4 linked regions of the Arabidopsis thaliana genome follow. The protein of the gene in region 3 interacts with the protein of the main gene of each other region in a pairwise test. Each region holds a gene or a part of one and is shown on either strand. Other genes may lie near its edges.

Evidence for each region.
Region 1: the proteins of AT1G67865 (region 3) and PRA1.A1 interact in a two-hybrid assay, tested with the Arabidopsis thaliana proteins (one large-scale study listed by BioGRID).
Region 2: the proteins of AT1G67865 (region 3) and AT3G54120 interact in a two-hybrid assay, tested with the Arabidopsis thaliana proteins (one large-scale study listed by BioGRID).
Region 4: the proteins of AT1G67865 (region 3) and PRA7 interact in a two-hybrid assay, tested with the Arabidopsis thaliana proteins (one large-scale study listed by BioGRID).

What each region holds. Positions count from the first base shown.
Region 1 is NC_003076.8:396,355-404,971, forward strand, and holds PRA1.A1 (prenylated RAB acceptor 1.A1), read left to right. Parts: upstream 1-4,544; 5' UTR 4,545-4,808; coding exon 4,809-4,966; intron 4,967-5,172; coding exon 5,173-5,213; intron 5,214-5,306; coding exon 5,307-5,385; intron 5,386-5,482; coding exon 5,483-5,569; intron 5,570-5,650; coding exon 5,651-5,739; intron 5,740-5,827; coding exon 5,828-5,899; intron 5,900-6,013; coding exon 6,014-6,117; 3' UTR 6,118-6,123; intron 6,124-6,201; 3' UTR 6,202-6,636; downstream 6,637-8,617. Other genes in the region: RPL (POX (plant homeobox) family protein), read left to right, coding at 1-119, 820-1,220, 1,575-1,635, 1,973-2,518; AT5G02050 (Mitochondrial glycoprotein family protein), read right to left, coding at 6,885-7,044, 7,139-7,497, 7,606-7,890; AT5G02060 (Uncharacterized protein family (UPF0497)), read left to right, coding at 8,554-8,617. UniProt on the Arabidopsis thaliana protein: May be involved in both secretory and endocytic intracellular trafficking in the endosomal/prevacuolar compartments.
Region 2 is NC_003074.8:20,039,013-20,046,576, reverse strand, and holds AT3G54120 (Reticulon family protein), read left to right. Parts: upstream 1-4,236; 5' UTR 4,237-4,443; coding exon 4,444-4,513; intron 4,514-4,615; coding exon 4,616-4,796; intron 4,797-4,860; coding exon 4,861-5,072; intron 5,073-5,159; coding exon 5,160-5,308; 3' UTR 5,309-5,451; downstream 5,452-7,564. Other genes in the region: PTR1 (peptide transporter 1), read left to right, coding at 1-692; AT3G54130 (Josephin family protein), read left to right, coding at 2,148-2,402, 3,095-3,682; PUMP1 (plant uncoupling mitochondrial protein 1), read right to left, coding at 5,581-5,625, 5,730-5,816, 5,900-5,977, 6,061-6,165, 6,257-6,355, 6,438-6,571, 6,665-6,743, 6,844-7,059.
Region 3 is NC_003070.9:25,443,114-25,450,748, reverse strand, and holds AT1G67865 (uncharacterized protein), read left to right. Parts: upstream 1-3,126; 5' UTR 3,127-3,240; intron 3,241-3,796; exon of another isoform or gene 3,797-3,894; 5' UTR 3,895-4,061; coding exon 4,062-4,289; 3' UTR 4,290-4,572; downstream 4,573-7,635. Other genes in the region: AT1G67870 (glycine-rich protein), read left to right, coding at 1-132, 644-1,156; AT1G67860 (uncharacterized protein), read left to right, coding at 5,573-5,809.
Region 4 is NC_003070.9:20,584,536-20,591,575, forward strand, and holds PRA7 (PRA1 (Prenylated rab acceptor) family protein), read left to right. Parts: upstream 1-3,861; 5' UTR 3,862-3,914; coding exon 3,915-4,484; 3' UTR 4,485-4,664; downstream 4,665-7,040. Other genes in the region: PLDEPSILON (phospholipase D alpha 4), read right to left, coding at 522-949, 1,063-1,448, 1,532-2,913, 3,002-3,094; AT1G55200 (kinase with adenine nucleotide alpha hydrolases-like domain-containing protein), read right to left, coding at 4,774-4,872, 4,967-5,116, 5,239-5,386, 5,464-5,540, 5,616-5,776, 5,871-6,841, 6,925-7,019.

The sequences.
Region 1 (8,617 bases), on a different chromosome or scaffold from region 3:
ACGACGATGATTCTTCTCTGCTTTTTGATCCGACGGTTGAGAATCTCTGCGGTGTTTCTGATGGCGGCGGAGGAGATAATGGAAAGAAAAAATCAAAACTCATCTCCATGCTCGACGAGGTATACAATAACATGATCAATTCTAATCTCTTTAAATTATTGAAATCTGTAAATTTTCTTTAATTATTGTCTATACTTTCTTACAAGTATGTGAATTATTGTGTTAAATGTTCACAGTTTTTGGTCGGTGTCCTTTGGAATTGGAGACAAAATGTGTTAAATGATATGTCTCTTAAAAAGATCTTCCTTGGAAAATGAAACTCCTTCAAAGCCATTTTAAAATTATATGATATTTTATTTAATTCATTATAATACCATATGTTAATTAAATTAATGTTCCCTACGTTTTGCATGAATAGATGATGTTATAGCGTCCATTTTAATACATTATATAAATTACAAGCTTGCCATCTTCATGCTGATTTTTAATAGAATTTTAAGGTTATACTAAAGTAAGGATAATATTATCTTGAGGAAGTAACTTTATATAGAGCTTCCTTAGCTCTTGATCTGAATTTGTGAATTAGATTCTTCAAATCTTAGGGGTATAAACATTAAGTGATAAAAAGAGAACGTCTTCTTTATGAAAGGAATATATGCATTATATGATCTTAAAGCTAGGGACTTAAAGATTTTAATTAGTTTATTCCGAGGTATATAACATACTTTTTGAGTGAGGAAATAATGTATAAATTTATAATCACCCATTTTATTATGTAAGTGGGGGAATCTAAAAACATTTCCATGTGACGTTTTGAAGGTTTACAAGAGGTATAAGCAATACTATGAGCAGCTACAAGCTGTGATGGGATCATTCGAATGCGTTGCAGGTCTCGGGCACGCTGCTCCGTACGCTAACTTAGCCTTGAAAGCATTGTCTAAGCATTTCAAGTGTTTGAAGAATGCTATAACGGACCAGCTTCAATTCAGCCACAACAACAAGATCCAACAACAACAACAATGTGGTCATCCGATGAACTCTGAGAATAAGACTGATTCTTTAAGATTTGGAGGAAGTGATAGTTCTAGAGGCTTATGTTCTGCTGGTCAAAGACATGGATTTCCTGATCATCATGCTCCTGTTTGGAGACCGCACCGTGGCCTACCCGAACGTGCTGTTACTGTTCTAAGGGCTTGGCTCTTCGATCATTTCTTGCATCCGTAAGTAACCCTTCTCGCCATATAAATGCTTTTGAAAGTTGTTGGATTCGAGTTTGAACTTGGTTCCAACAATTGATTAAACTAAATGCAAACGTTTAATTGATCATGAACCAAATTGTATATATATGCTTGTGAACAATAGCTTTATATGTGTGTGTCAGTGTGAATAAATATGTGTGTATCGAAGTGTATTTTTACTTGGAAGTATGTTTTAGATGGGACATGTCGACTGCTTGTTTGTTTCCCAAACTTGGAGATGTCGTGTTGCAAGCGTAATTATGTGTCTATATATATGTGTATGTTAGTATATACAATGATATATTAAATTGTTGTTGTCTGTGTCTTTTGTTGCAGTTATCCAACAGATACAGACAAACTCATGCTGGCTAAGCAGACAGGTCTCTCCAGAAATCAGGTTTCACTTCTGATATCTTCAGTCTTCTTCTTTTTTCTCTTTCCATCTTTTCTTGTTCACAATTTAACAAATTTCTTGCTAATTAAGCATGCACATAGTCACATAGATAAATATATGCTTTTATGAAATGAGTTTCTGTTGTCGGACAATAATTATATGTTTTAAATCTTTTCACATATATCATTAGTATAGTAACTATGTTATAATTTGGTTTATTAGGTTTGAATAAGTGTTACACTTTTGTTTTTGAAAATTTATCCGTTGGTGATAATGAATAATTTAGGGATTTTCTATCGCTTGAGGGTTATTAATTTATTATGGTAAAATGTTATTTTAGGTATCGAATTGGTTCATAAACGCAAGAGTTAGGGTTTGGAAGCCGATGGTGGAAGAGATTCACATGCTGGAGACTCGACAATCTCAGAGATCTTCTTCTTCCTCTTGGAGAGACGAACGTACTAGCACCACCGTCTTCCCTGACAACAGCAACAACAACCCATCTTCGTCCTCGGCACAGCAAAGACCTAACAACTCATCTCCGCCTAGACGGGCACGAAACGACGACGTTCATGGCACAAACAACAACAACAGCTATGTAAACAGTGGGAGCGGCGGCGGTAGTGCGGTTGGTTTCTCGTATGGAATTGGGTCGTCGAATGTGCCGGTGATGAATAGCAGCACAAACGGAGGAGTGTCTTTGACGTTAGGGCTTCATCATCAGATTGGGTTACCGGAGCCTTTTCCGATGACAACTGCTCAGAGGTTTGGGCTTGATGGTGGTAGTGGCGATGGTGGTGGTGGGTATGAAGGGCAAAATCGTCAGTTTGGGAGAGATTTTATTGGTGGTAGTAATCATCAGTTTCTACATGATTTTGTAGGTTGAGATTATTTGTGTGGAAAGGAAAAAATATGTTTGACGTTTGGGTATGTATAAGAAGATATGGGGGAATTGAAATGCATATGATGTGTATATTAGAATGTTTCTTCTTCTTTTTTTGTTGTTTGCTTACTTTCACAAATGTTATCTTTTTAAGAAATGAAATTGGATTCAATAACCAATGTTAAAAACATGGGTTAGACTTTAGAGTTGTCTATGTCTTGGTGAAATATAAAAGGCATCTATCATTGTTTTAATATTTTGGCATGATTCAAAACATGGTGCTTTTTTTTTTTTTATGTATGTCACAATTATCGTTGAAGAACGCGATTAAGATGTTTATCATTGATCGTTGATATTATATTTTGAACTATCTTGTTTTACTTGATAGTAAACATTGACTAAACAACATGTTTTCAAACCCTAAACCTTGAAATATTTCAGACTATTTGAGTTATCTTTTTGAGTCGGATGCAGTTTTGACTCCGATCCGCTCAACATTGTTGAATTCTTCTACTCATAAAAGAAGTTTGAGCCGATTTCAAACACACAAAACAAATGAGTTCGGTTTAATGTTCAGTGTGTACTAATACGTTGGCTTTTGAAGATCACATGAGAGCAAAAGTATTGAAAATAAAATTGTGCTTTTGTTGCTTCAAATAACTTTCCATTTGCTTTTGGAAAACAAGAAAGATATATATATATATATATATATATATATATACATAACCTTTCCCTCTCATGGGAAAAAAGTAAATCTTTTTCTTTGTAGAATTTATTCTCCGATCCTAACCATTTCTCAGCCTTTTTGTTTGTTTACACCATTTTTGTTTATATTCTTGGATTATGTCTATATAGAATAAGATGTAAACATAAACTGTATTAGCAAATATGTTTTGAATTATATGAAATTCAATAATTGAGAAGAGGTTCATGTAATGAGCCGAGAGAAGAATATAAAAGCAGTCAAATAATTTTTTCAAAAAACTATTTGTATATTAAAAAGGTACAAAGTAAAAAATAAATTTAAGAAGGTGCCATCATTGGCTCCTAAAGAACAAACTACAAAGAATCAATTTCTCATGATTTGATCTCTCACAATCCGTCTCCTTTATGTGGATGCGGAAAAACACTCTCCACACGTTTCATGTAAAAATTTTAGTTAAATTTCTAAAAACAATAGAGATACTATTCGATTTGTTCTTGAATTATTCATGAATACATATAGTGGCAACCTTAGACACTAGCCACGTCAACCGTACATGTTATATCATATATTTTTATATTGGTCTATCTATATGCTGAACTAGAGTCTAGAGATAAATATGAGAACATATAAGAAACCATGGACAACTAAAGATATTGTCTTTCTGTGTGAGTATTTGTTCCAGAAGCATTAAACCTTCGGAATAAGTATAATTCTTTTGCACCATTACTATTTTTATAAGCTTCACCAGCTCTATATATATTCTCACCATTAACATAAAACAACAACAACACGAAGAAGAAGATGAAGGTACTTGATGATGAACGGGTAATCTGCATCCTGAGGTTTAAAACCAATTAAGCATATACATATGCGAATGTATAGTTTTTAATCCTCGGGATACAGTTTACCTCTTCCTTACTCAAGAAAACACTTAGCTTTAACGGTTTTGGAGAAAGAAGAAGCATCGAATTAAATCCATTTGAAACAGGTTAGTTATCTTAGTGAAGAATATATCCATCAATCATAATTTGGTCTAGTCATTCGAAGTGGGATATGATTTGATACATATAGTCTAAAATATGATTTTATGCCAGTAATATTTTGTTTTCCCTGTCCCCTACCTATATCTAGAGCTTGAGATCCTCCTTTTAAAACTTTTAGATGATTAATCGTTTTACAAATCATAGTCCCAGACTTTCGTTCCAATCTAGATCGGTTTAGATGCGTTTTGTTTTGGAATTTATACAACGAAAACCAAAGTTTAGATTAAAAGATTCGAAAACCGGATTACATAAAATCTGGTCCAGGACCCCTTTGGTTAACGAAAACCAGACTAAAGGGCAGAAACGTCATTTGACAAAAAGAAGGATGATTCTCTCCTTCCTCTTTCCCCAATGCAAAGAAAAAGCATTATAGACTTTTCAAGTTTTCCGATATAAGCACGAAATCGCTGTTTCTCTCTTCGACGAAGCTTTGATAATTTGATCTCAATCGATCGATTCTATTGAGAATTTGTGTACCTGTTTTCTTATAAGGTTAACTAAGGATTGTGGAATCAGAAGTGTTGTGTTTTTGTGATCGGAGATTATGGATTGGGGAAACGTAACGGTTGATGATCTCTTCGATGCTCTCCGAGAAGTTGACTGGTCGTCTCCGCCGCGTCCTCCGTCTGAGTTCTTCTCAAGGTTCACCGTTCCTAAATCTGTCCCTAAATGGGATAGTCGCCTCAAGTGCAATCTCTACTAGTACGATCTCTCTCTCTCTTTCTTGTTCGCCAATTTCATATCTATTCGGATCTGATGTTGTGATCAATCTCTCGTTGAGAATTACCAATCAAATTCGTCCCAATTGAACATAGAATTCTTAGACTTTGGTTAGAACACAGAGTCTTGATAGCTTAGTTTCTGTATTGAGCTTAATTTTGACCTGTGATGATGATCTGTTTATGCAGCTACCGAACAAACTATTTCATCATGATCGTCGTTATACTTGGTATGTGGTGTGAGGAAGTGGCTAAGCATTATCATCTGTGTTGTTTATCAATGATGTCTTGTTCACTTAGAATTGTCAAATTTTACTTCTCAGGATTGGGAGTCCTTACAAGGCCTTTAGCGATCTTCGCTGCGCTTTTGACAGCATTAAGTTTGGCATTTCTAAATGACAGGTTTTTCTTCATCTTCCTTTTGTTTTTAAACTCTCAGAGCTTTGACTAGTGGATATGCTTGAATCAGTAGATCCATATTGAGTATTCTTGTCTACAGCTTTGCAGGTTCTTTTAGTGAGAAGGCGACACGAACCGTCAGAAGATTCTCTCCACAGTTAGCTGCTAAAATGAGACCTCCTTTGACGTATGTTTATCTCTCTTTGTTGCCTTTCATACTCTTTGTTACTCCTTGCTTATTATCATCTATGTTATCTGTGTTTTTTAGACCTGTCACTCGTGGGCGTCCATCATCAAAGAGAGCAATCCATGTATGTGGTCAACCCCGTTGGGTTTTTGTCTTGACATGCTCACTTGGTATGTGGCTTTGTATATTTTCATTTGATGTAATATATCTCCAAAAACCGTAAAAAACATGATTTGGAGTTTTTTTTTTGTTTCGCAGTGAGTTTTGCTCTTTGGTATATTTCCTCTGGTTTGCTCAGAGTCTCGGTTGCGCTACTCATTGCACATCTTGGTATGCAGTCTACACAAATCCTCATAAGTCATAACTTAGTTTCTCTCACTCTACTTCAAAAATCCACATATAGGCTTTTATAAACTCAACCTCTTTTTGTAATTTGTGTTACAGCAACAATTCTTCATGCAAGCTTGAGAACACCGAACTTGAAGGCACGTTTTAACACATTTAGGGAGGAATTCCGAGCAGTATGGCGTAACTACAGCGAGATTTAGAGTAATGTAAGTTTGAAATATCTTCTTCTTAGTCTAACATCTATTTGCTTAACTGGATGGTTAGATTTTCTGAAATGTTGACAGTCTTTGGCAGCTTGTACCACCATGATCGTGTTCTGCTGAGGACATAACGCTGTAAAGACCAAACTTACTGCCTTTCTCCAAGATAAACCCGGTTTCGTTAACACTGTACTATGGATGTTCAATCTGGATTTGTTGCTCAATGACTGGGATCATCTGTTTTTTCTTTGATTTGAGATTTGAGCTCTGAGCTCTTTTTGCTAGCAAAATCCTCTCTTTTTTTTGCTAAAGACTTGTAAAGCTAGCTTTGTTGTTCTTCGTTCTAACACAAAACCCTTTGTGTAAAGTCCTAGAATCGTTTAATAGCTTGCATTTTTTTCTTTCTTTTTTTGGGTTGAGAGGTCTAGTAACAATAATAATGAGATAACAAGAAATGGAAAATAAACAAATGATTTGACTACTTAGCCGAGAGTTTTCGGATAAGAATAGGCAATGGGAAAATGCAAAAGAATTATACTTTATTGAGGTCGTAACATTTTTTCCAACTGACACTCGAAAGAGTTGCATCTTATATCTAGCAAAGTACCTAAAAACCCATTAAAAACATGTAGCAATATTGTTAACAAGCATAACACATGACCTCACTTTCAACGATTGCTCATGGTGATATCAAGTTCATCTAAGATAAACTCAAAAGTTTAAAGCAAAAAGAAATCTCGCTCTTATTCTCTGAACAAAGTTCAGTTTCACTTCTCGACAAAAGACTTGAGATCCTTGAGCCATTGAAGATACTCTCTGCTATCTTTGTTGGCCACATAATCTGCCAGAAAGGTAGTGAAGCTTGGTTTAATACCTCTGATCTCCAAGTACCTGTGGAAAGCCTTCTGCAAATTCTCATCCAAGTCACTGCACATAACACAATAACCAAATTCAATCACATAACAATACCCCAATCTCATATATTCCAAACAAGAACTCACTATCATTGAAGTAAACTTACTCAAAGTCAGGTCCTTCGTAAGCAAGGTCATTATCAGATCCTTGCGGTTGTTTGATCGATAAACTATCAATCACAATCTCATCCGGGTATGCGCTGACTCCAAACTCAAGACACACACCATCACCTTTCTGCACACTAACAACCATCGGAACCCGGACTTTACCCGAGCTCTCTTGATCTTCATCGTCTTCTTCATTGTTTGGTTCTGCTTCCTCTTCTTCATCTTCATCATCATAAGAAGCAACAGAGTCAACTTCCACTTGGATGGTTTCATCCTCAAATTTCCTTGTCAGCAACACAGTTCTCTCCCCTGAATTATCAATGATTTCAAATGGAAACCCTTCTGGCTTATCTTCCAACTGTTTTTCCAAAACATTTCTAATTCAGATACAATTGTTCTAAACCCCAGAAATATTAAAATCTCATGAATTCGAGAAGAATCATGTATATTGAAAGAGAGAACTTACGAAGTCAGTGTCATGAGGAGCCTCCTCTGCGACGGCGCATTCGATTTCAGATTCGATAACGCTAACAAGATTCTCGTCGGCGGTTGTTTTAGAGATCGCACTTTCCGTCGAAAAGCTCGAGACTGAGAATGAACTAACCGATCCACGCCTGATCTGGTGGCTACCACGAATCAGCCTCTCGACGGAGACAGCGCCACTGCGGAAGCTAACCGGAGATCTACCCGCACGGAAAGCAAGATTGGCTACTGTTGACGAAGCTCGACGAAACACGGTGCTCAACGCCATTTCTGAGGATTCTAGGGTTTTCCTTAAAAGTGAAAAGAGAAACAGAAATGAGGGTTTTACTGAGAGAAGAAGAGAGGTTTAAGGTTTGTTTATAGTGCAAAGCATTATGTAGGAGATAAAAAGCCATTTAATAAGGCCCAATTACTTAATGGGCCATAAGAAGCCCATATATTAAAAGGAATTGGTCATTCGTACAGTGAGAGAGGAATGTCTGTGTGTGGACACGTCCTTAAAGGCAAAAGGAGAGAAGAACAAAATAGCTCTTGCCGGCGTCAGAATTGCGTCACTGTTTCTTCCAACTTCAATTTTAATATCGTTGGCTTGAAGTTAAGGGAAACATAATTGTTCCTCCAAAAAAGCAGAATTAAATTTGTGGTAGATACTTGTTTTTAAATTCATATAGCTCAAAAAAGTTGTCATTTTTAATGTTGGTTTTCTGGTGGCGATGCTCTTAATTACCCAATTCCGTACGATTTATGATCATAAGTCAACTTTTGAGATTTGGGTTTGTGAAATTTTCCTGAATAAAATTATGGGTTTAGGGTTTTTATGATCAATTTCCTGTAAAGTAGCGATTTTTTTCTCCCGGGGATTTTGGTGAGGAACAGGATAGAAAGTCTTGGTTTTGTTCTGTTTATTGTGTTTGTTTTTGGGTTCTGATCAATGAAGAAGATGATTGGGAGTCCTGGAACAATGAGTGGGTTGATACTGAGACTAGGGCAATGTG
Region 2 (7,564 bases), on a different chromosome or scaffold from region 3:
TCTTCGCCACAGTGTACAGCCAAATGAGCACAATGTTTGTGTTACAAGGAAACACAATGGACCAACACATGGGAAAAAACTTTGAAATCCCATCAGCTTCACTCTCACTTTTCGACACTGTCAGTGTACTCTTCTGGACTCCTGTCTATGACCAGTTCATTATCCCGCTGGCAAGAAAGTTCACACGCAATGAACGAGGCTTCACTCAGCTTCAACGTATGGGTATAGGTCTTGTGGTCTCCATCTTTGCCATGATCACTGCAGGAGTCTTGGAGGTTGTCAGGCTTGATTATGTCAAAACTCACAATGCATATGACCAAAAACAGATCCATATGTCGATATTCTGGCAGATACCGCAGTATTTACTTATCGGTTGTGCAGAAGTTTTCACCTTTATAGGTCAGCTTGAGTTTTTCTATGATCAGGCTCCTGATGCCATGAGAAGTCTCTGCTCTGCTTTGTCGTTGACCACGGTTGCGTTGGGGAACTATTTGAGCACAGTTCTTGTGACGGTTGTGATGAAGATAACGAAGAAGAACGGTAAACCGGGTTGGATACCGGATAACTTGAACCGAGGCCATCTTGATTACTTTTTCTACTTGTTGGCAACTCTCAGTTTCCTCAACTTCTTAGTGTACCTCTGGATTTCAAAACGCTACAAATACAAGAAAGCTGTTGGTCGAGCACATTGATCAAGAAACTGGTGTGGAAGATATTTGGAGTTAACAGTATTTGTTTGAAAAGTGTTTTGCTTGTAAATGTTTTTTGTATGTGGTCTAGTTGTTGTTGGTGTGTTAGGTTTGTTTTGGTTTTGCTTATGTATTTCTGAATACTTCCAGTCTTCCACTTATATGTAAAAGGCTATTGGTAACTATTTTATGAGCTTTTTGCTTAAAGCTTTTTGACCGTCTGATAATATGTCCTCCTATATTTTGCCATTGCTCTTAAGAAACTTATTATATACATTGGAAGTTATAAGCAATAAGCTGGGAAATAAAATCAAAAACTAAACAACAGCATGGGAAATCTTAACAAAAAGCAAAGCACATAGGATCCTATTGTCAATACATATGTAAACTTACTACTAGACATTAAACAAAGAGATCAAGTATTTTCTTCTGTTTCTTTGAAGATGTCTTTACTTTTGACTATATATCTGAACTGTTTGGAAAATGCTCAAGATCAGGATGCATAAGGAAGCCCCCTTGGCTTCTTGGAGGTTGTCTAACAAGATTGAGACAAGCAAGCGTCAAAAACAGATTTTGATTCTGGGGTTTATTTGTTCAGTAAAACCCATGGTTTATATATATATAGTCAGAAACAAGCTTTTTATTGAGCTCAACTATATGCACATAGAAAAAGAGAAAGTTTTTTTGTCATTTTACGAATGTGGTGGTGCGATGAAGCCAGGTTTGGTCACTAAATGAGCGGAAGCGGAAATAGCCAGCAGGACTATCTGGAAATGAAACCAAACCTAATCATTTAACAAAGTATAATCAACTCTAGCCTTGCAATTATATGGCTAAGAAGGAAAAATTTAGACCATAATAAGAGTTTAGAACAAACAGGTAGAAGTAGTAGATGTATTACCTTGATGAAAGAATCAGAGGGCGTAAAAGCTTATACAGAATCTCATTCTTTAAATCTGTCACTAACTTATCTAAATTCTTAAACTGTTCACGGACATTGCTGCTAGTGCTCTCAGTAGTATAATTCCTAACTCTGTATTAGTGCTCTCAGACGTGGTTATTACGAAATGCAGGCATAAACCAACCCGATCATACCCATCACATTATCAGAAGTCGCCATCAAAGAGATCACCAGAAATCTTGGGAAGCAAGGAACCTAAGTTGGTCTGTCAATTTTGAGATAATGGGCCTATCTCAAAACAGTATCGGGCTCGTCTGCAAAATAAGAAAAAGGCCTAGAAAGTCGGTTATTACACGTGGCATCCTTTTATTGTATATTTACTTTTCCGTCCCTTACATTTTCTTATTTAAATAATCTGTTAACTTGCTTCTTCTTCTTCTTTCTTCATCTTCATCTTCATCTTCGCTTCACAATCTCTTTGAGACTTTTGCATCGGAGCAATAATAATATATTCATCGCAAAATCAGTGAATTTTGATATTCAAATCTTAATCGGCGATGGAACGAACAAGCAACGGAGGAATGTTGTATCACGAGGTTCAAGAGTCAAATCTGTGCGCCGTACACTGCGTCAACACGGTGTTGCAAGGGCCTTTCTTCTCTGAATTCGATTTGGCTGCCGTCGCCGCCGATCTAGACGGGAAGGAGCGTCAGGTTATGCTTGAAGGTGCTGCCGTTGGAGGTTTTGCTCCCGGCGATTTCTTAGCTGAAGAGTCGCACAATGTTTCCCTCGGCGGCGATTTTAGTATCCAGGTACGAATTCGCGATGAAATTGATAAATCTTGAGTTGCATTCAACATTTATATATTGTAAAGCCTTTTTGTTATTGTGTTGTTGGAAGTTTAGGCAAAATTAGGGTTTCGATTTTATGGTGCTTTTGATTGCTGTGTTTATGCTGAAGTGATAAACTTTTGAATGGTTGGATTCGTTTTTAGATAGATTCAAGAAGAATTGAGATCAGTAATGGTGTGAATTTGCGATCTTTACTTTGGGTTAAAACTCATTTGTTGAAGGCTAGTTTCATTGTGCGAACATTGCTATGCTGATAAATGGAGGAACTTGAGATGATTTTTTTTATCTTGGGACTCAATTGTTTTGGATATGTTAGTTATTAGTGAGGTTCTGTATATTCAATTATCATCTTTTGTTTCTTGGATAGCTTTAAACCGAGTTGGTTGATAACTTGATATTTGATTAGGTTGCTACAAAAGTCAGGTTTGATTGCAAGATTTATGTATTGAGATTCAAGGGTATAGTATGGTGTTTTACATCACATTTTTAGATATCTAAAATTAAAGCTATTTTAACGGATTACGTTGAAGTTGGATGCGGATAAAACACTGCAAACAGAGGGTTTATGCGATTGGTGTAGCATTTTAATCTTGCAAAGTTGATCTAGTCTTTGCTTATTCGTTTAACTGAGAATGCTTCTGTTTGATTGACAGGTCTTGCAAAAAGCTTTGGAAGTGTGGGATCTACAAGTAATTCCACTCAATTGTCCAGATGCAGAGCCTGCGCAGATAGACCCTGAGCTTGAAAGCGCCTTTATCTGCCACTTGCATGACCATTGGTTTTGTATAAGGAAAGTGAATGGCGAATGGTATAACTTTGATAGTCTCCTTGCTGCCCCGCAACATTTATCGAAGTTCTACCTTTCTGCGTTCTTAGACTCTCTCAAAGGCGCAGGATGGAGTATCTTCATAGTGAAAGGAAACTTCCCTCAGGAATGTCCCATGTCGTCTTCTTCTGAAGCTTCCAATAGTTTCGGGCAGTGGCTTTCTCCTGAAGACGCAGAGAGAATAAGAAAGAACACGAGCTCAGGTTCTTCTGCCAGAAACAAGAGAAGTAATGACAATGTTAATCAACAAAGACGGAATCAGGCATTGTCACGTGAGGAAGTGCAGGCTTTTTCAGAGATGGAAGATGATGACTTGAAGGCAGCAATTGCAGCAAGTTTGCTTGATGCTTCTGCTGCTGAGGCCAATCTCGGAGCTGTGGGCACTTCTGAAAAGGAAACTGAGAAACAAAAGTAGCAGAGAAAATAGAGAACAAGTGTTATTGATGGAGGTGGTGGGATATTCACTTTTGTTTCTTTGTTTTGGTTTGTTATCAAGAGTTATCAACAATTTTACATACAGAACAGAGAAAGAAAAAAGCTTACATCGAAAGATAGAAAACAGAGGATAATAAATGGTTTGTGGAATTGTTTTTGTTTGATTTTTTTACCATATTAAATTCTTCTGACAATCTTAAATTGAGGATAAAGATTCGACCTTTTCGAATTCATAGGAAACTACATCTGAAAAGGGTACATAAATTACTTCAGTTGACTAAAAGTAGATGAATGACCAATTTAAATGTGTTCTATGGAAAATATAAAAGGATGGTGTAAAATTTGATTCATCTCTAAGTACAATCTGGCGAACTTTTACAGTTTGAAAAAAACAAGAAGGATAACACTTTTAGGCTGGAAATAAAAACATCGAGAGGACAACAAACACCTTCTTTTTCCCTAAACAGAGCATAGCCTTTGAATTATTAATTAATTATTTGTATATTCAAAGTTGATGGCTTTGATGATGATGGTGATGACCCAACTTTAGTCTCTTCTTCACTTTTTATTTTTACTTTCTTTGTGATACATCAGGTTCCTTCGATTCGAGCCTTTAGGATTTCCTTTCACATAATGATCTGTTTCTGACATTCAGAGAAAGATATACATATCTGGGTTACTTTTGGGATCTGATCATCTGAGGAAATCTGAATCCAAGTTTGCTCTGATCTTTCTTCTCAAATGAGTTCTTCTTCGGACAAGTTGTTCAACAGAGACAGGACAATACATGAGATTCTGGGAGGAGGCATTGGTTAGTGAATACATTTCTTTACCAAATCCAAAACTTATAAAAGCTAGGTGATCTCTCACCTCTATAGCCTTTTTTTTTTCTTGTTATGAAATGAATCTGCAGTTGCAGATGTGATGCTGTGGAGGAAGAAGAATGTGAGTGTTGGTATAGTTACAGTGACAATAGCTTCATGGATGGTGTTTGAGGCATTTGCTTACACTATCTTTACTCTTATTTCAAGTGTTCTTCTTCTCTTGCTCTCTATTCTCTTCCTCTGGTCCAAATCTGCTTCCATTCTCAACAGGTATATTAATATTCACTTGTAACTAATATTACTTCATTTCTGATTCAATTTCTTGGCTCTTCAGGCCATCACCGCCGTTACCGGAGTTTCAAATAAGTGAAGCGATGGCGGAAGAAGCTTCGATATGGTTACGTATTCATGTGAACAAGCTACTCCAAGTTTCGCATGACATTGCAATGGCAAGAGACTCAGAGTTGTATACCAAAGTAGCAGTGTCACTGTTTCTTCTCTCATTGATCGGAAGTCTCATGGATTTTCAGACACTTTGCCACACCAGTAAGTAGATATTCTAAAACTCCTATAGACTTGGAATGCTTTTGAGCTGGATATTCATTTTGTGGTTGTTCTTGGTTAATTTGGCAGGCGTTTTGGTGGTTATGACGGTTCCAGCTTTCTATGAGAGATATGAGGATTACATTGTTGGCTCTATTGAGTTTATCTGCAACAAAACTAGAGAGCTTTACCTTAGACTCGAGATATGGGCTAATCCGGAAAATAAGAAACTGAGCTGAGATGCTGTCACCTCTTTCTTCTTCAGGAGTTTCTTTTTCTGATTTTTCTCGGTTTTGTGGAAAGAAAGGAGAAAAATGTATGATTTTTGATAAATGTTGGATGGTACAGCCAATATATGAGCAATCCACAGAAATTTTATTTCACAGTTTTACTCGAAAACTGAATCTCTATTCCGAAAACAATATTCGACCAAGTTCTGGCCTCTCTCAATCACCGAAAATGAAGAAGAAAACAATGTTGCTCTTATTCCCTCTGCTTAAAACTATGTGTCTCAGTTTCTTTTGGACGCATCGAGTTCCCGGACATACTTCTTTGCCTGGATTAGAGTATTAAGAACCCGGATTAGAAAATGAGAAAGAAGACTTTGCGTGACCGATTCGAATGCGATTGCGATAAAATAAAAATTCTATCAGTTGTTACCTGTTCGAGGGTCAAAAACATGATTACGTTCCATGAGCCAAGGCGTCCAAAGTTGGGGATGAAACCCTTGTAAAATGCCATAGGACCCTGTAGAGGAAACCGTAAAGAGTTTGTAACATTTTCTGGGTTATATCTAGAACAATGGAGGTATCAGAAGCAGAGTTGCTTACGTCGCTCTTCAGAGTTTTGACGAAGCAGTCAATGGTGCCCTTGTAAGCACCAGAATCTCCCATCATTCTTGACTTAACCTGCCACACAACAAGATTTAAGTAGACAATCAGGAAACGTGGTGAATAAACTCAAGGTTCAATGTCATGAGTAAATACTTTACCACGTCGACAGGAGAGCCGATGCAGACAGCAAAGAATCCTGCTCCCAGTCCAGATAGAATATGTGTGACAACGTTGTCAGTGAAACCCGGAATCTTCAAGATCGTCTGAACACAAAAAAAAAAAGGAATGTTGGTTGCTTCAAATATCAGGATCTCTTATTTAGAAAGAGAGACAGAGAACATATTAGTTTCATACCTCTTTCACTTGATCGTAACTCGCTAATTCAGCAGCATTGATAATAGCGTTTCTTGCTACGTTAGGTCCAAGACCAGTCCAAAGAGCTCGGACTCCTTCCTGTCAGAGCCACATTAATAAGATATGAAGTAGAGTTGAAGCAACTTATGCACAATCTCAACTTCCAAGTCGGGATAACTACCTGTCTCACAATTGTTGAATAAGCATTCAGCGCTCCAGAATACCGTCTTGGCGCACCTGCAGCTAGTTTTCCTTCGGCCTGAAGCCTAACTTTCACAAGATCAGTGGGATTTGCTACCATGATACCCAGTGCACCTGAGAGTTAGACAACAAAAACAGCCCAACTAAGTGATAAAGAGGAAATATATATTACGTGTTTTTTCTAAGCTGGTCTATCGTTATGCTCACCTGTTGTCAAACCAGCAAGAATTTTCTTGCTCAATGGAACATCACCTACAAAGTCTTTTCCAACATACAAGTTTTTCACCTGAGTAGAATAAATTGGTTAAGGCTTTAAGTAGTAACTAGGAAAACACTGAGTTTAAGCACTTTTCTGGAGCATGAAAGAAGAAGAATTTGTAACCCACCGGCTCATACATTCCAATCCTAAGACCTCCAAATAGGCATTGACGATGCAATCCAGGTACAACACCTTTCCATAGTGAACGTAACCCTTCTTCCCTTGCTATGGTACCAACAGTTCCCAACAATCCTCGATATTTAGGCAGAGTAACATCACCAGCAAGAGCAGACTTTTGGAGCTGAAGCCTAACTTTAGCAGTGTCCAATGGAATTGTGCATACCTGGTCCAGAGAGTTTAATTGCATAAGAACAGAATTATCTGACGAAACAACACAGCCAAAGAGAAGATACATGTTGTTCTGAGGATAATTAAACATTATACAGTTGCGTTGCATAGCAATCACAATGATCAAATAGATTCCATTTTCAAGTCTCATAATCATTTCAATGTTTCGCAAAATCATATCTAAAGCATAAATCAACAACACTACACATGCCAAAATTCAATTTCTAGCCACAGATCTGACCGATTATTCCGAGATCAAATCATTTCTATCGGAATTACGTAATCTGGAGAAACACTATAGAAGCTAAAATCAAAATTCTCCAGCTATACGATGATAAAGACAAAAAAGACAAAGATCAACCTGATCAGAACTTCACAAATACCAACGAAATTCGAAAATACATTTCCGCGTATAGCCAACAAAGTCTAGATCGCGACACACATTTCTCGAACGAACAAATAGTTTTCCGGTACAATCGAAGCATACTCAGCGATAAGAA
Region 3 (7,635 bases):
GATGAAGAAGACTCAGACTCAGACGTGGAGGAGTTCTTTGAGAGCAGCCGGACCCAACACACTACTGCGTTGCCGCAACCACTTCATATGAACTTCAGGCCTCCACCTCCAGTGACTCAGCCTCACCACAACGTAAGTTATCTCTTTTGGTGTCGTTACCTTATACTAATCATGTTATGTTATGTTACTTAATATATTTATTTATATGTAAGGTATCTTTTAAAATTTTGAAGTCCTGAAAATTGGTGCTAAAATTTTGCCAAATAAAACAATTAATTCTGATTTGTATATATAAACATCAAAAACAAAGTTATATAAACAGATTGAGGTGGTGGTCTAGTGATAAAATGGAGTTGGTATTTTGTGCCCTAAGTTCAAACACTCTTTCGTAGAGAGAGGGCAAGTCCTGAATTCATCCGGTATAAAAACATAGTATTATATAAAATCAAAAGTCCATAGCTTTGACCTTCACGCCACAAGAGTTTTGAAGATAAATTTTAGGCAACGGTTTGTGGTTTTTATTTATATTAACAAACTATTATAAAAGAAGCACCAATTTTTTAATCTTATATAGAACCTTCTGTCATCCTATCTGCTTAAACATATATTTTGTTTTTTAATTTGCCTAATGATCATTTTTCAGGGAAAAATGGGAAAGATAGGTAATGGATTGCAGCAGGGACACGAGATACATGGGATGAAGCACCAGGGCGGACATGGGATCCAGCACCACGACATACACGGGATGCAGCACCAGGGCGGGCACGGGATGCAGCACCAGGGCATGCACGGGATGCAGCACCAGGGGGGGCACGGAATGCAGCACCAGGGCGGGCACGGAATGCAGCACCAGGGCATGCATGGGATGCAGCACCAGGGGGGGCACGGAATGGAGCACCAGGGCGGGCACGGAATGCAGCACCAGGACATGCATGGGATGCAGCACCAGGGCAGGCACGGAATGCAGCACCAGGGCGGGCACGAAATGCAGCATCAGGGCATGCATGGGATGCAGCACCAGGGCGGGCACAGAATACAGCATCAGGGCATGCATGGGATGCAGCACCCGGGTGGAGTAGTGGTAAACGCTACTGAGAATTGGCGGGTCAGCAAAATCACCGGCCAGAAACTCGGGTGGGGAGGTAAGGGACTCTAGACTCCACCTAAATACTATGCCGGTTCAAATAAGAAAGTAATGATTATGTACCCAAATAATACATTTATAAGATGTATGTGTGTGATGGACATGTTTCTGTATCGTACCAAAACTAAATAGGTGGCTTTTATCCCAAAAAAGTGCTTTCGTTTGATGACCTTATGATTTCTAAAGAGTGTTGTTGTTGCTGCTTATGTTTAATAAAAGTGATGTATATTATCAGTTGATTTCCCCACGTGGAAGGGGTGATTATATTGCACAAAATTAAGTTAAAAGTAACATTGTGGTGTAATAAAAACCCTAGTGAATTTATAACCTATAAGTAAGTGGTGCAGTAGTGAATTTATAACTTATAAGTAATTTATAACTTCTTTCACCTCCAAAAAAAAAAGAAAAAAAACATCTGTTTTAAAATAAACTTCACATTCTTGGATTCCGTTTGTAATAACTAATGTTTTACACTGTGAAGAAAAAAAACTTTACATCGTTTAATCAAAAAAAAAAAACTGTTGATTAAAAAAATGAACTTCTACATTGTCAATAATGATTTTTAATTACATTTTATAATCTGGTCTTTTTAGACCAAGTCTATTCCTGAGTCCAATAAAAATATGAGTTTCGAGATGACGGATGGCTAAGCAAGAAAGTTAGATAAGTTCACGTTTGAGGCGATTTTTATTATTTTTTTAGACCCATAAAATGAATCCTCAACAACACAAAACCGCCACTTGGTTAAGAGAGACTCTAAAATTTGCGCATTAGAAGCAATTTCCATCGTAACGATTGAAGAGGGAGGCCATTGCACAACGGAGATGAACCTAACATTGACCATATCCACGCATATTTTCGTATGTTCTTTGATAATGTTGCGGTCAAAACACGCCAATTTGATCAATTATTAAAGGCATCTAGTTCGACTGAATAACCAATAGTAGTTATCGTTTACCGTTCTCTCTTTCTTTATATGGGAATATATACGTTGGCAACTCTCCTCTAAACCCATTGGCCCACCTCTTTATATTTTACAAAGTTATTTTTCCTTCTACTTGTTGAATATATATTGAACCGTGCGTCTCTAGTTTTAATCTTCCAAGAACATTTGGCCCAAACCTGGAATAAGAAAGAAGAAATAATAGAAAGATATCCAATTCAGCCTGATCCAATGATTATTAACCTGACACCTGACATGGACAGCGAACCAAGCTATCTTCCGAGTTATAGGGCTGTCAGGATCGACCCAGATTGACCGTGGCTCAACTGATGGATGAACATGTTAAAAATATTTACATATTTTATGATTTCTAACACCATCATCATGGTGACAACCATCTTGCATTTACTTGATGAGATCTAGCCAACTTTCTGGTATATTTGGTGGGCTTCCTCCGATTTTCAAAGTACATATCGGATTATCGGTTGTATATGTGTTATGTTAGGCACGTTTCACTAAATTTTTGGAATAGTTCCTTTAATAGCAAATGTTTTGATCTTTTCAGTTTCGTGGATTGATGTGGGATGCTACTTAAGTGGTGTATTTTTCTATCCAAATTGAATTTATCATCATTTTACTTATGGTTACCAAAGCTGAAAGTAATCCCTACGGTCACCACAATCACCGTTACTTCTCTTGGAGGTTCTCTTCTTTGCTTCGTCTAAGGATCATTGGTTTGTCTCCAATATTCTAACACAAGTCTTCTTTCCTCATCTTCTTCCTACTTAATCTCGGTATTTTTTAACCCTCACCATTGAATATCCCATGGTCTTTAGACTTCTTGTGTTACTTCCCACTTTTCGCTAACGTGGCCGGCTTACTCATGTCATGCACGTTACGTGGCTATTAGCAAAGAACAAAAAAAAAAAAAAAAAAGTTACACAACGCTTCGTCGAAATCCAAAAATGAATGAAAATTTTAACTCAAACAAATTTAATATAAAATCAAATAAAATCCGTAATAAATAGAACTAGACTAGGTTTAATTTCCAGTTTCATTATTATGCTTCCATTAATACTCAGCCAATTCCGAAATGTTCCCATATGAATAGGACTGATCTTTAATTTAAAAGACGAACGGAATTAGAACAAACATGACTATTCAACTTTCGTGGTAGAAAAGAGAATAAGATTCATATGATCGTACGATGATATTTCGAATAATCTCCAAAGGGAATAACATTTTCTTCTTTTACCTCATAGAAATCTGTTTTTTAAAATAAACTTTACACTGTCATTAACGTTTTTTTTTTAATAATCGGGACTAGGTCTTTGTCGACCGAAGTCCAAACTAATTCCTGAGCCAAGTATTAATATGAGTTTTATTGCCACTGAAAGCGTCGACGAGTGGCTAAGCGGGATAGTTAGATAATTCCACGTTTAAGGAAATTCTTTTCATGGACTAGACCAACAATGAGAATCCGCTATCACTTGGTTAAGAGAGACTCTTCAAACTTTGCAAGCATTAGATGCAATTTCCATCATAACGATTGAAGAGACCATTCCACGAAGGAGATGGGCCTTACACTAAACTTATCCACACATCTTTTCTAATGTTCGTTACTAGTATTGCTGTCAAAACATGCCTTTTTGGACTAAACATTAGTTGATACACATACAACATCTATTTTTGAGGGTCTATAGGGTCTGATTTTTTAAAGAAAACGTGTCCGTAGACAGAAACCTCCTTAGTTTGGATCTTTCCCATGTGATCATTATTAAAAACGACGAACGGAATTAGAACAAACATATCTATTCAACTTTCGGTAGTGATGGTACTAAGAGAATAAGATTCAGATCATAAAAAAGGGAACTATATACAAGAAATTTTTTCTATATATAGAAAACATCTGAAAGATTAAAACACTTATCCATATCAAAGAAAACTAACACAAGTAGATAAATATAAAGAAAAATGCTTGATAAGCTTATTATTGGGGTTGCCGGAGGGATTACCGGAGGGATTCTTGGAACGGTCGATGGGTTTGCCAAAGGGGTCGGGATATGGCCCAATAATTATCAGAGCACCGGTCGCTTCGAGAACAACAATATGACGAGTCCGGGAAACTACGGCAATGGTAATGGCGGTGCAGTGAAGGCATCCGAGAACTCCGGCGGCCGCCGCCAGAAAGACAGGGAGTAAAGGACTCCTGACCACACCCAGTAATGATTATGTATCCAAAATAATAAATGTATACGATGTATGTATAAGATGGACATGTTTCAGTATCTTACCAAAAATATAGGAGACTTTTAATGAAAAGTCTTCTTGTTTAATTTTATGAACTTTATGATTAATAAAAGGAGTGTGTTTAATAAAAGTGATGTATATTAACAGTTATTTCCACACGTGAAAAGATTGAATTTATTTGCACACAATTAAGTTTGAAAAGTAACGTTATGGTGTAACGAAAACCCTAATGAATTTATAAGTTACGTAGTGCAGTAGGATATGTCGTTTTAATGTTTCTGGTTCATCTAAATAATTAGATAATTTATTTTGCATTTATCGACCAAAACTTTAAGCTCATAGATTTGATTCAAACAAGTAATTCATTTACTAAATTAGACGGATCATAGGATTTTTTGTTGATTCGATTAGCCTTTTCAGTTATGCAATGTTCTTGAGGGAAACACAAACACAGATAGCATATTTGGCGACAGCGTCTGCCTTTTGAATTGGAAAGACGAGAAATATAACTAAAGGAGATAGAACGGAAACAACCTTGAAGCTGTCGAATTTCTTGAAGAATTCCATGAATGTCATTGATAGAGTTGTCTACACTTTTATCTCAAAAATCAAACGAACCTTACACAAGCAATGTTTTTTTTTTTTCCAATAATCAGAGTCTTCCTAAATCCAAAGTCTAGACTAATTCTTGAACTTAATACTAATAGAAATGTTTTCTTGCAATTTACAGCGTTATGGAGTCTAAGTTGAATAGTTAGATTATTACACTTTTATAAGGCTTTATTTTCTGGCCTAGAACAACGACCTGAATCTTCAACAAGGGGAAACTTTAAGTCCACTTCCACTTGGAGAGTCTTCAAACTTTGCAAGCATTAGATGCAATTTCCATCATAGCGATTGAAGGACCATTTGAGTGACAAGTAAGACGGGTCGTGTATGTCCATAGTTATCTTGTTTTCCACTTTCTTTCCATCTACTTCACGAATTTTTGTGATCGTTGAATTTTTTAAGACGAACGGAATAAGAACAAACATGTCTATTCAATTTTACGTATGGTGGTGGTAAAAAAAAAAGAATAAGATTCTTATCATATCATGGATATCATATGACGAATAATTGCCATAACAAACAAACTTAAGTGAACACTACGAGAATTGTATAAATATATACAAACATCTGAAAGATTGTAAGCTCTTATTCATATCAAAGAAAAACAACAGAATTAATATATAAAAATGCTTGATACGCTTATTGGAGGGATTGTCGGAGGGATTGCCGGAGCGATTATTGGAACGGTGGATGGGTTCGCCAGAGGGATCGGAATATGCCCCGATAGTTACCAGAGCTGCACTCGTACCGACTGCGAGGAGCACAAAAAGAAGCTCCCGACCAACCTTAGCCGTAACGGCGGTGCAGCAGCAGTGAAGGCTAAGGAGAACGGCCGCCGTCGCCGCCAGAAAGACAGGGAGTAGAGGACTCTAGACTACCCAAATATTCTGACGGTTCAAATAAGAAAGTAACGATTATGTACTCCCCATATAATAAATGTGTAAGATGTATCATGTATTTGTGTGACGGACTTTTAATGAAAATAAATGTTCTTGTTTAAGTTTTTTTTTTTTTTTGTCAGCGTTCTTGTTTAAGTTAATAAATCATTTATCATATTACATAAGAAATATATATTAGATCGGTATATAAATTGACTTTAATATATATTTATCGACAAAATTTGAAATGAATATTTAGGAAGTATATTATATCTCATTGAACTATATATATAGAAAGAGAAAACGAAAAGACTATTTACGAAAATGATTGGATTAAGATATGTTGTTTCACGATGAAGACAAGGGAAAAAAACCCTCAAGTTACATGCTTTAATGTTCATTACATGAATCTACTTGTTAAAATAACATAAGTACAAGTGAGTTAAGGAACAAAGAAAACTAATTACGTTAACTAGAAAAGATGGGTTTGTGCGTAGACTTGTATTGGAATTTTCATGTGGATCACAACTATATAGGTTTTCACAACAACTGGTTATTTAGTTGTCTTCCTCTTATATACACTAAATATATTATCTCTCACATTGCTCAATAAAATTAATATATGTTAAAATTCGAAAACATAACACCAAAAAGTATGTAATATCAGTAATTTTTTTAAAAAAATACAAATAACACTAAAATCATGTATTTATTTTTGTTATATATGTGCAGTTTATAAAATTATTATTATATTATTAGAAACTTAGATTTACATTAAAATTTTCAAAAAATAATTATTTTTCTATCTTATCGAATTGTATTAGTTTTTATATTACTCCTACTCGAAACTAGAAAATATAAATAATTTATAACATTTTTTTTTTATTTGTCCAGTATTAGTTTATAAAAGTTTTACTATATATCATAATCTCTTGAATCCTTCTTATCATATGAAGGAGAATATCTTCGATATTTTTTAGTGGTCCTAGGTCAACATGACGAATCCTCATCAAGGCAAAACCACAAGTTATCTCTCCAAGCAAGATGCAATTTCTATCATAACGATTGAAGAGACCATTCCACAACGGAGATAATTAGCCTTACATTGAACTTATACACACATATTTTCCTACTTTCTTTACTAAAGTTGTAGTCAAAACACGCCATATCATCCATTGTTAAAGGTATCTAGTTCGATCGAATAACCATCAGTGACTCTCGTTTACCGTTTTCTGTTTGTTCATGGGCATATATACCTTTAGCCAACTATCCTCTAAATACAACAATAGACATGTCACATATGCGTCAATATATTTAATGGTCCAATGAACATTGGCCAAACCTGGAATAATCTAAAGGAATAAAAGGTATCGGATTCAACGTAATCCTTAAGACTCCAATACTAAACATGCGTAGATATAATCCCTCTGATGATTAATTTAAATGCGTACTGAGTAATAAGAAGATATCAAACAAGAATTTCAATAGAAACAATGGTGCCTGAGACCTTCCTTCAGCATAAAACTCATCATCATCGTCACCATACCCATCATCATCACATGAATTCGATGGCAGAGAAACCTAATCATCAAGTTATGGAGTACGAAGACTTGAGTCATGACGTGATGAAGACGTCATCACATCATATGAGGAAGGTGAAGAGTGAGAAGAAAGCAAAAGATGAAGATGTTGATAAAGAAGCAGAGAATTTCATCAATCTAAAGCACAGAAAATTTAACAACTGTATTATCTAAGTTTCAGTTAGTAGAGATTCTGTTATATATGCAAAAGATGTAACACTGTTCTTCTAA
Region 4 (7,040 bases), 4.9 Mb from region 3:
GTTGTTACTCCAGATCTAGAATTGAAGCGGTGCTGCAAAGATGCAAGTTTCCAGTAGTGTGAAGCTTCTTGGAACAGTACACGATGAAATAAGGGAGATTTGTTACTTAGCCATTAGATGAGCTTGGACACGGATAGGAAATGATTCTTCTTCAAGCTCCATTCCGGTTCACCTTTTAGACATTAGATGTAGAGATCCAGTCTGCTAAGTCACGTAGCATTGTATGCTTTGCATAAATATTAGCTGTTGAAAACTGCTCGTTTCATGTATATACAGGTTTTGATTATTCTTCTCCTTGTTACAGGCGACAAAGCTTGAAAAGACCATTCATCTACAAGTTGGAAACGACAAAGGGACCGGAATGGTTATAACAGAAACCAGTAAGTGTGTTAACCACTAAATACATCCTCTCATAATCAAACATTTATATGCGTATTTCATCATAATTAACAGGCTGAATGTTATTTATATATATGTATTGCAAGTTATGATCTAAGAATGATTCTGATTCGGACATTTTTTCAGGTGGTTAGAACAGGAGGAAACATCTTGGACCTCTTTCCTTTCACCAAGGTCTTGGTATCAGGAAAGCAACCGTCACCGACTTCCTCAACTGCACCATCTCCTGTCACACTAATTGGATAGGCGACCAAATGGATACCGAGCATGTCTACGACCTTGTCTCCACTGTAAATCTCCCACATTTGCTCTCCTATTGTCCGTAACCCTCGGACACATTCAAGACTCTCTGGCTCTGACGATGATAAGTCATCTGCCGTGATCTTGCCACCGGTATGCTCATACCAGAGCGATAACCGGTAAGCTTGGATTTCGTTGGTGTTGTTGGTATTGGTTTGGTAGCAACCTATTGCAATCTCGGTGTCCCGACAACCATCCATTGATCTCTGGTTTATATTGGCTGATCCTATCAAAATGTATGTGTCGTCCACTACAAACATATGACAATCTCTGTAATTTAAATCTTAAGTGAAAGTTTGTGAAAGTTTAACGAATCTTCAATATATTTTCATTTCAGATTGTGAATTGCGGATTGTTTGTTACCTATCATGAGCTTGGAGTGGACATAGACCATGAATCTCCGATTCCTCTGCGCATTCCAGTAATGCGTTTTCTGGTGGGGCGACGAAACTGCTTCAAACTCCCCATCTCTCTTCTCTTCTCTGTTTGCAAGACAGAAGAAGTTTAGATAATCCCTCGGATGCGACTTGTCTCCAACTTCCCATATCGCCTCTCCAATGATCTGATACATCATTGACATCGTCTCTCTCGTCCAATGAAGTATCTCTTCAACCGTTTCACTCTCCGGTGGCCCTTCCGGCCACATCGGTATGACTATATACACAGCAAATCTCTCCCTTGCACGTATCTTAGCAGCAATCTTTAACGCTATTTCGACAGGTATCAAGTTTGTGCATCCGCTGCAGATTCTATCCATCAAAAAAAGAAATACTAAAATAGATCAGAATCTCCCAATGGATATTTAATAGCTTCGTTAAGAGAAATTTCGTACTTATCGTTCTTGCTCTCCCAATGATCACAGCTTCCCATGAAATACTGATTCTCGATGTAGATAAACCTCTCAGCCTTTCGAATTGCTGCGACATAGCCATCGTGTACACTCTTCTCTACCGGCAAACCTCTTGGCATCTCTGTTGCCGATATGTGATCTATCGATCTCAGAACTTGAACATTCCATTTCCTGTTATTTTCCTCAGTAGGTCCGGTTAGGTTTACTAAGTTTCTGATCCCTGAAGTGTTAACCAACACGGAAGGGTTACACTGTTTCGTCCATCGCTGTTCGAAGTTCTTCAGGACATCCCAAGCCGCTCCTCCAACCACGGACACATGGCAATCATGCCATGGCTCTCTTGGTCCGCCTCTACTTAGCTTAGCTCCAGCTACACTTGTCTGGTAAAAATCAGCTTCTGTTCCGAGTGTACGAAACAGTGAATGCTCCTCAGTGTCATATCGACCATCGCAAAGGTCAAACCCGCCAAGGAAGCTCATGATCTCTCGCTCCTTCGTGCTTGAATTTGTCACCCGTGTATCCAGTGTTATTGTCTTTTGGTGGTGTGCAAACGCTGTAGGGAGCTTTTTGTGCAATCTTGGACACAATCTACAAACAACGTTTGTGTTTCTGAAGTAAGCAAGAGCTCTTTCGACGTTTGTTCTCATTACACCTTTGTTCTTGATCATTGGTAAAGACGTCTCGTCGTTCCACAACATTACTCTCACCGCTACACCTTCCTCTGATTTCCGTTTCAGAAGCTCGCCAACCGTTACTCCAACCGCATGTGGAATCTCAGTTTCGTTGTCGCGTACAAGAACAAGATTAGGGTTTAGTGCCCATCCTGCAATGTAAACCAAGTGCCTAGCACTTTCGATCGCTTTGTAAACATCTTCCCATAGATTCCTTGCATTAAAAGGAACATCATCAACCCTTGGATCAAATGTGGCCTTGTGGTGTGCATCTTGATACAGTACGACTCTGCAGTTCGATCTTTGAGGGAAGCTTGCGTTCCTAATACCTTGAAAAGACGCTTCTTCAAGCGCTCTGCACCATCCCGGTTCAAGATAAGCCGGTCTGAACCACATCAAACACTTAAGCTTCAAGTTACGTTTCGTTGACCCATTGTCTGCAATCAGAGGGAAGAACCCGTTGATAACTGCTGAATTAGATGTCAGGATCTGTTCTGCAGAGATTCGGAATCTTCCGAGAACAGAACATCGAGTCTTGAGCGTGATGGTGATAGTCGTGTCAGTAACCGGGTGAGCGCAGAGGATCTGAAAAGTCTGATTCCAAATACGGTCGTATTCTGAGCTTGTTTTAGCAACTTTCTTCTTGTTTATCTTGATGGTCACGTAAGCTGCTTTTGGCTTTGTACATATACACTGTGAACAAAGATAACAAAAGCTCATGAAAATGAACACAATGATAACATCATCAGAGTCACTAATTCAGTATATGATATAGACTTACATTGAAAGGAAATGGAGGAGAAAAAGGTGTTGCATCGAAGATTGTAATCTCTAGTGTTCCATGAAAGTACTTCTTCTGTTCTTCAAGCTCCATCTTCTCTTTATTCAAAATGTATCTTTAAGAGAATGAGAGATAATTTTCTGTGAATTGTCAAGTATGTGTTTGAAGCTGGTCAATTACAGAATGCACAAGGTTATGTCCATCCATATATGTATATGTATTTGTTAATGTTTTTGGTGAAACTTGTAGGATTCTCCATGGACAATCTTAAAGAAAACATTCAACCATATAGATGACAAAATCGAAGGTGAAGTGTCTTTGAATACAAATCAAGCATTCGACTTCGGTTTTTAAAAATAGGAATTTTAAAAAGCAAAGTGTTAGATGGTATTCAAACAAAAGGTTGGGACTAAAATGTGAAAGCATGAAAATATCTGGTGGAGTTTGTAAATATTTGTGGGGATAAGCCACGTGCAGCAACAAAGCGCTGCCAAAGAAACCACTCGGTCGCAGTTTCTTTGGTGAACTAATAATATGAAATTTTTATTCTGCCGGAAAAAAAAATTAATCCTTCTAATGAATAAAATTATGCTGTTTACAAGTAATTAATCAGATTTATGTTTTGAAAATGACAGAGAATATAATATGCTGTACATTTTCCTAAGAATATGTCTCTATGATGCTGACTGTTAAACACATATAATACCAATATTGTTACCATAAATGTACAGTTGCAAAACAAATAAAAAATTATTACAATATAAAGCATTTATGTATTTATTGGGCATGTAACAACTTTTATCCATATGTGACATTTACATTAGCACCATCACCTAATCCATAGGGACACTGAGCAATTTATAAATTATTACAACCAACAAAAAAAAAAGCTTCGTGTCTCTCTTCTCCAAAAATGACGAACTACGGGGCGATTCCGACGTCGTCTCATCCATCACCGGCGATAGATCTCGAATACATCTCACGCGCCAAACACCGTATAAAATCCGGTCTAGCTACGCGCCGCCCATGGAAATCAATGTTCGATTTCGAATCAATGACTCTCCCTCACGGTTTCTTCGACGCGATCTCGAGGATCAAAACGAATCTCGGCTATTTCAGAGCTAATTACGCCATCGGAGTTCTCTTCATCCTCTTCCTAAGCCTTCTATATCACCCAACCTCGTTGATCGTGTTATCAATCTTGGTCGTCTTCTGGATCTTTCTCTATTTCCTCCGTGACGAGCCTCTTGTTGTTTTTGGTTATCAGATTGATGATCGGACGGTTCTTATTGGTTTATCGGTTTTGACGGTTGTGATGCTTTTGTTGACTCACGCTACTTCGAATATTCTGGGATCTTTGTTAACCGCCGCCGTGTTGGTTCTGATTCATGCGGCGGTTAGAAGAAGTGATAATTTGTTTCTTGATGAAGAAGCTGCGGCGGTTACTGAAGCTTCAGGGCTGATGTCATACCCTTCGTCGTAAATCCAAAAATTTGTTTTTTTTTTTTGTATGTTACTGAGTTTGGTGCGATTTGAGAAAACTTGACATGTTCTTCTACTTTGTTCAATTTGTTGACAACAGTACAATTTTTGAGTATGTTTTGTTGGTTAATTACGTTATTACATGATTAGCACTACAAACACTAATCACTTTGGATAAAGCTACTAAAAAACCATAATTGTCAATTAAGAGGACTTTGATTTTACAAAATTCTTCTATTGATCCTACGCACTATACCAAAAGAAAGTGATCAGATTGGCTAGTTGAGCTTTTAGTTATGATCTCTGAGACCTTTCTCAGTGGATAGTCTTCCATTAAACCTCCCTGAGATTTCATTCATTAACATATCTCCTTCCAATAAACGCAACACCTTCAACAACAAGCAAAAGAGCAGACACACTTGAGAGAGTTTTATTGACTTAAAGAAATGAACATGTTTCAAGAATGGTGAATCTTTTCTTTACCTGAGACATGCGAGGACGCAAATGTGGATCTCTACGTATACACAATGAAGCTGTATGAATCATGCAAATGACTTGTGTTTCTGAATATCGCTTTTCGAGCCTCGGATCAACTAATTCCTCAACCGCATACTCTTCTAATAAAGATCTTGCCTGCTCACAAAGAAAATAAAATAACAAAATGAGCTTCAAGAAAGAAACTTTTAGATTTCATTTACAAGAAGAGACTGAAAATGAGCTAAGAAACCTTAAAAAGAAGAAACTTATGGATTTACCCATTCAGTTAAACATTGTTGTCCCTTTGGTCTGTAGATATCCATTGCTTTACGACCCGTGATTAGTTCGATCAATACAACCCCGAACGAGTAAACATCGGCTTTCTCTGTGATTTGTCCACTTTGAGCATACTCTGGAGCTAAATAGCTAAAACAAGAAACACAGAAAGTAGTTGAGAAATTACTCTAGAGTGAGAATGATGATTTAGTTATAAATTTTGTTACCCGAAAGTTCCTATCACACGCGTGTCTACACCTAGCTCTCCATCAGGCTGCCATCTTGCTAAACCAAAATCTCCAACCTGAAAGAGAAACAAAAACAGAATCAAACGAATGTATAAAAAAGTGTAAATTGTGGTTCAAGAAAATATAAATACCAGTGGTTCATAATCATGAGTAATTAGTATATTGTTAGGCCTCATGTCTCGGTGAACAATGCAACCTACTCTACACTCTTCATGAAGATATCGAAGACCTCGAGCCGCTCCAACCGCTATTTTTTGTCTTGCAGGCCATCCCAAAGTGTCCTTATGGCGACCTAAATGGACATTTCATGAAAGTTAGTTAGATAACTCTAGTTAAGTGTTTTTTAGGTTAACAACATCTTTAACTAACTTGGAAACTCTATTTACCGTATAGATGAGAGTCTAATGATCCATTGCATATGTATTCATAGACCAAGAGTCTTCTGGTATCTTCGATGCAGAAACCGATTAACATAACTACGTTTCGATGCTGAGCACAGCTCAAAACTTCTACTTCAGAGCAAAACTCTACATCTCCTTGTGTACTGGCCACTTTGTGTTGCTTTACTGCTACAATCTGGCCTTCAGGTAATACACCTCTATGAACAGATCCAAATCCACCTTCTGCCAAAAAATTAGCTCGCGAAAACCCGTTTGTTGCAAGCTCTAACTCTTTGTAGGAGAAAAACCTCGGTGGTTTTCCAAATACAGGCGCTTTGTGCTGGCATATAGAACAGAGAGGAGGTGAAACAGGAGGAGCATTTCGTGATAACGCTCTTAAGGTTCCACTATACTCCTCCAAGTCTTTCCTTTTACTTGACATAGCTGCTTCTTCTCCTTCATCAAGCTTAGAAATTTTCTCAAGCAAAGCCTTTTTAGTAGATACTTGAACAGCCTTATCATCGCCTCTCGTTGATTCCTGCATCGAGACGCAATGAGTGCTAAGATATTCTGATATCCATGGTTGGAATCTCTTACTTAAGGAAGGTAGTGATAGATTTTCGCTCTCTGAATCAGAATCAGATTCATTCTCTTTGACGACCAAAGTTTCATCCTTTCTCACTTCAGCTGTGAAAACTGGCGATGATGTACCGAGGTCAGAGCTAGATACTGATGAAGTCCAAGCTTCTGTTCCTGTGAATGATGTCTCAACCTCAGGACTGCTCATTGGAGTAGTTGTAACAACCGCTTTAACAGAATCTAACAACCTGTTTTTGTTTTTTTCAGATGCTAATTCTGGTTCCTTTGTTGAAGACCCGACCAAGTTCAACCGCAGGACTTTTGCCTCAGAACGCTTCATCGCCACAATGTTACATTGTAACTCATCTATGCACCGTTTCTCTTCATGCTTAAGGTGCCTGTAAAAGAAATATAATCATTCAACCACACAAAGAGAGTAAAAACTAAAGAACTGAAGAATAAAATCAGATTATTAACTTACTTATCAAGAACTACCCAATTTGCTTGAGATTTCTTGGCCTCAGCCGCAACAGCTCCACATGGTGATCCAGAAACAATCTTGATCCTGACATTAACCTTCAAAGAAACAAGCATGAG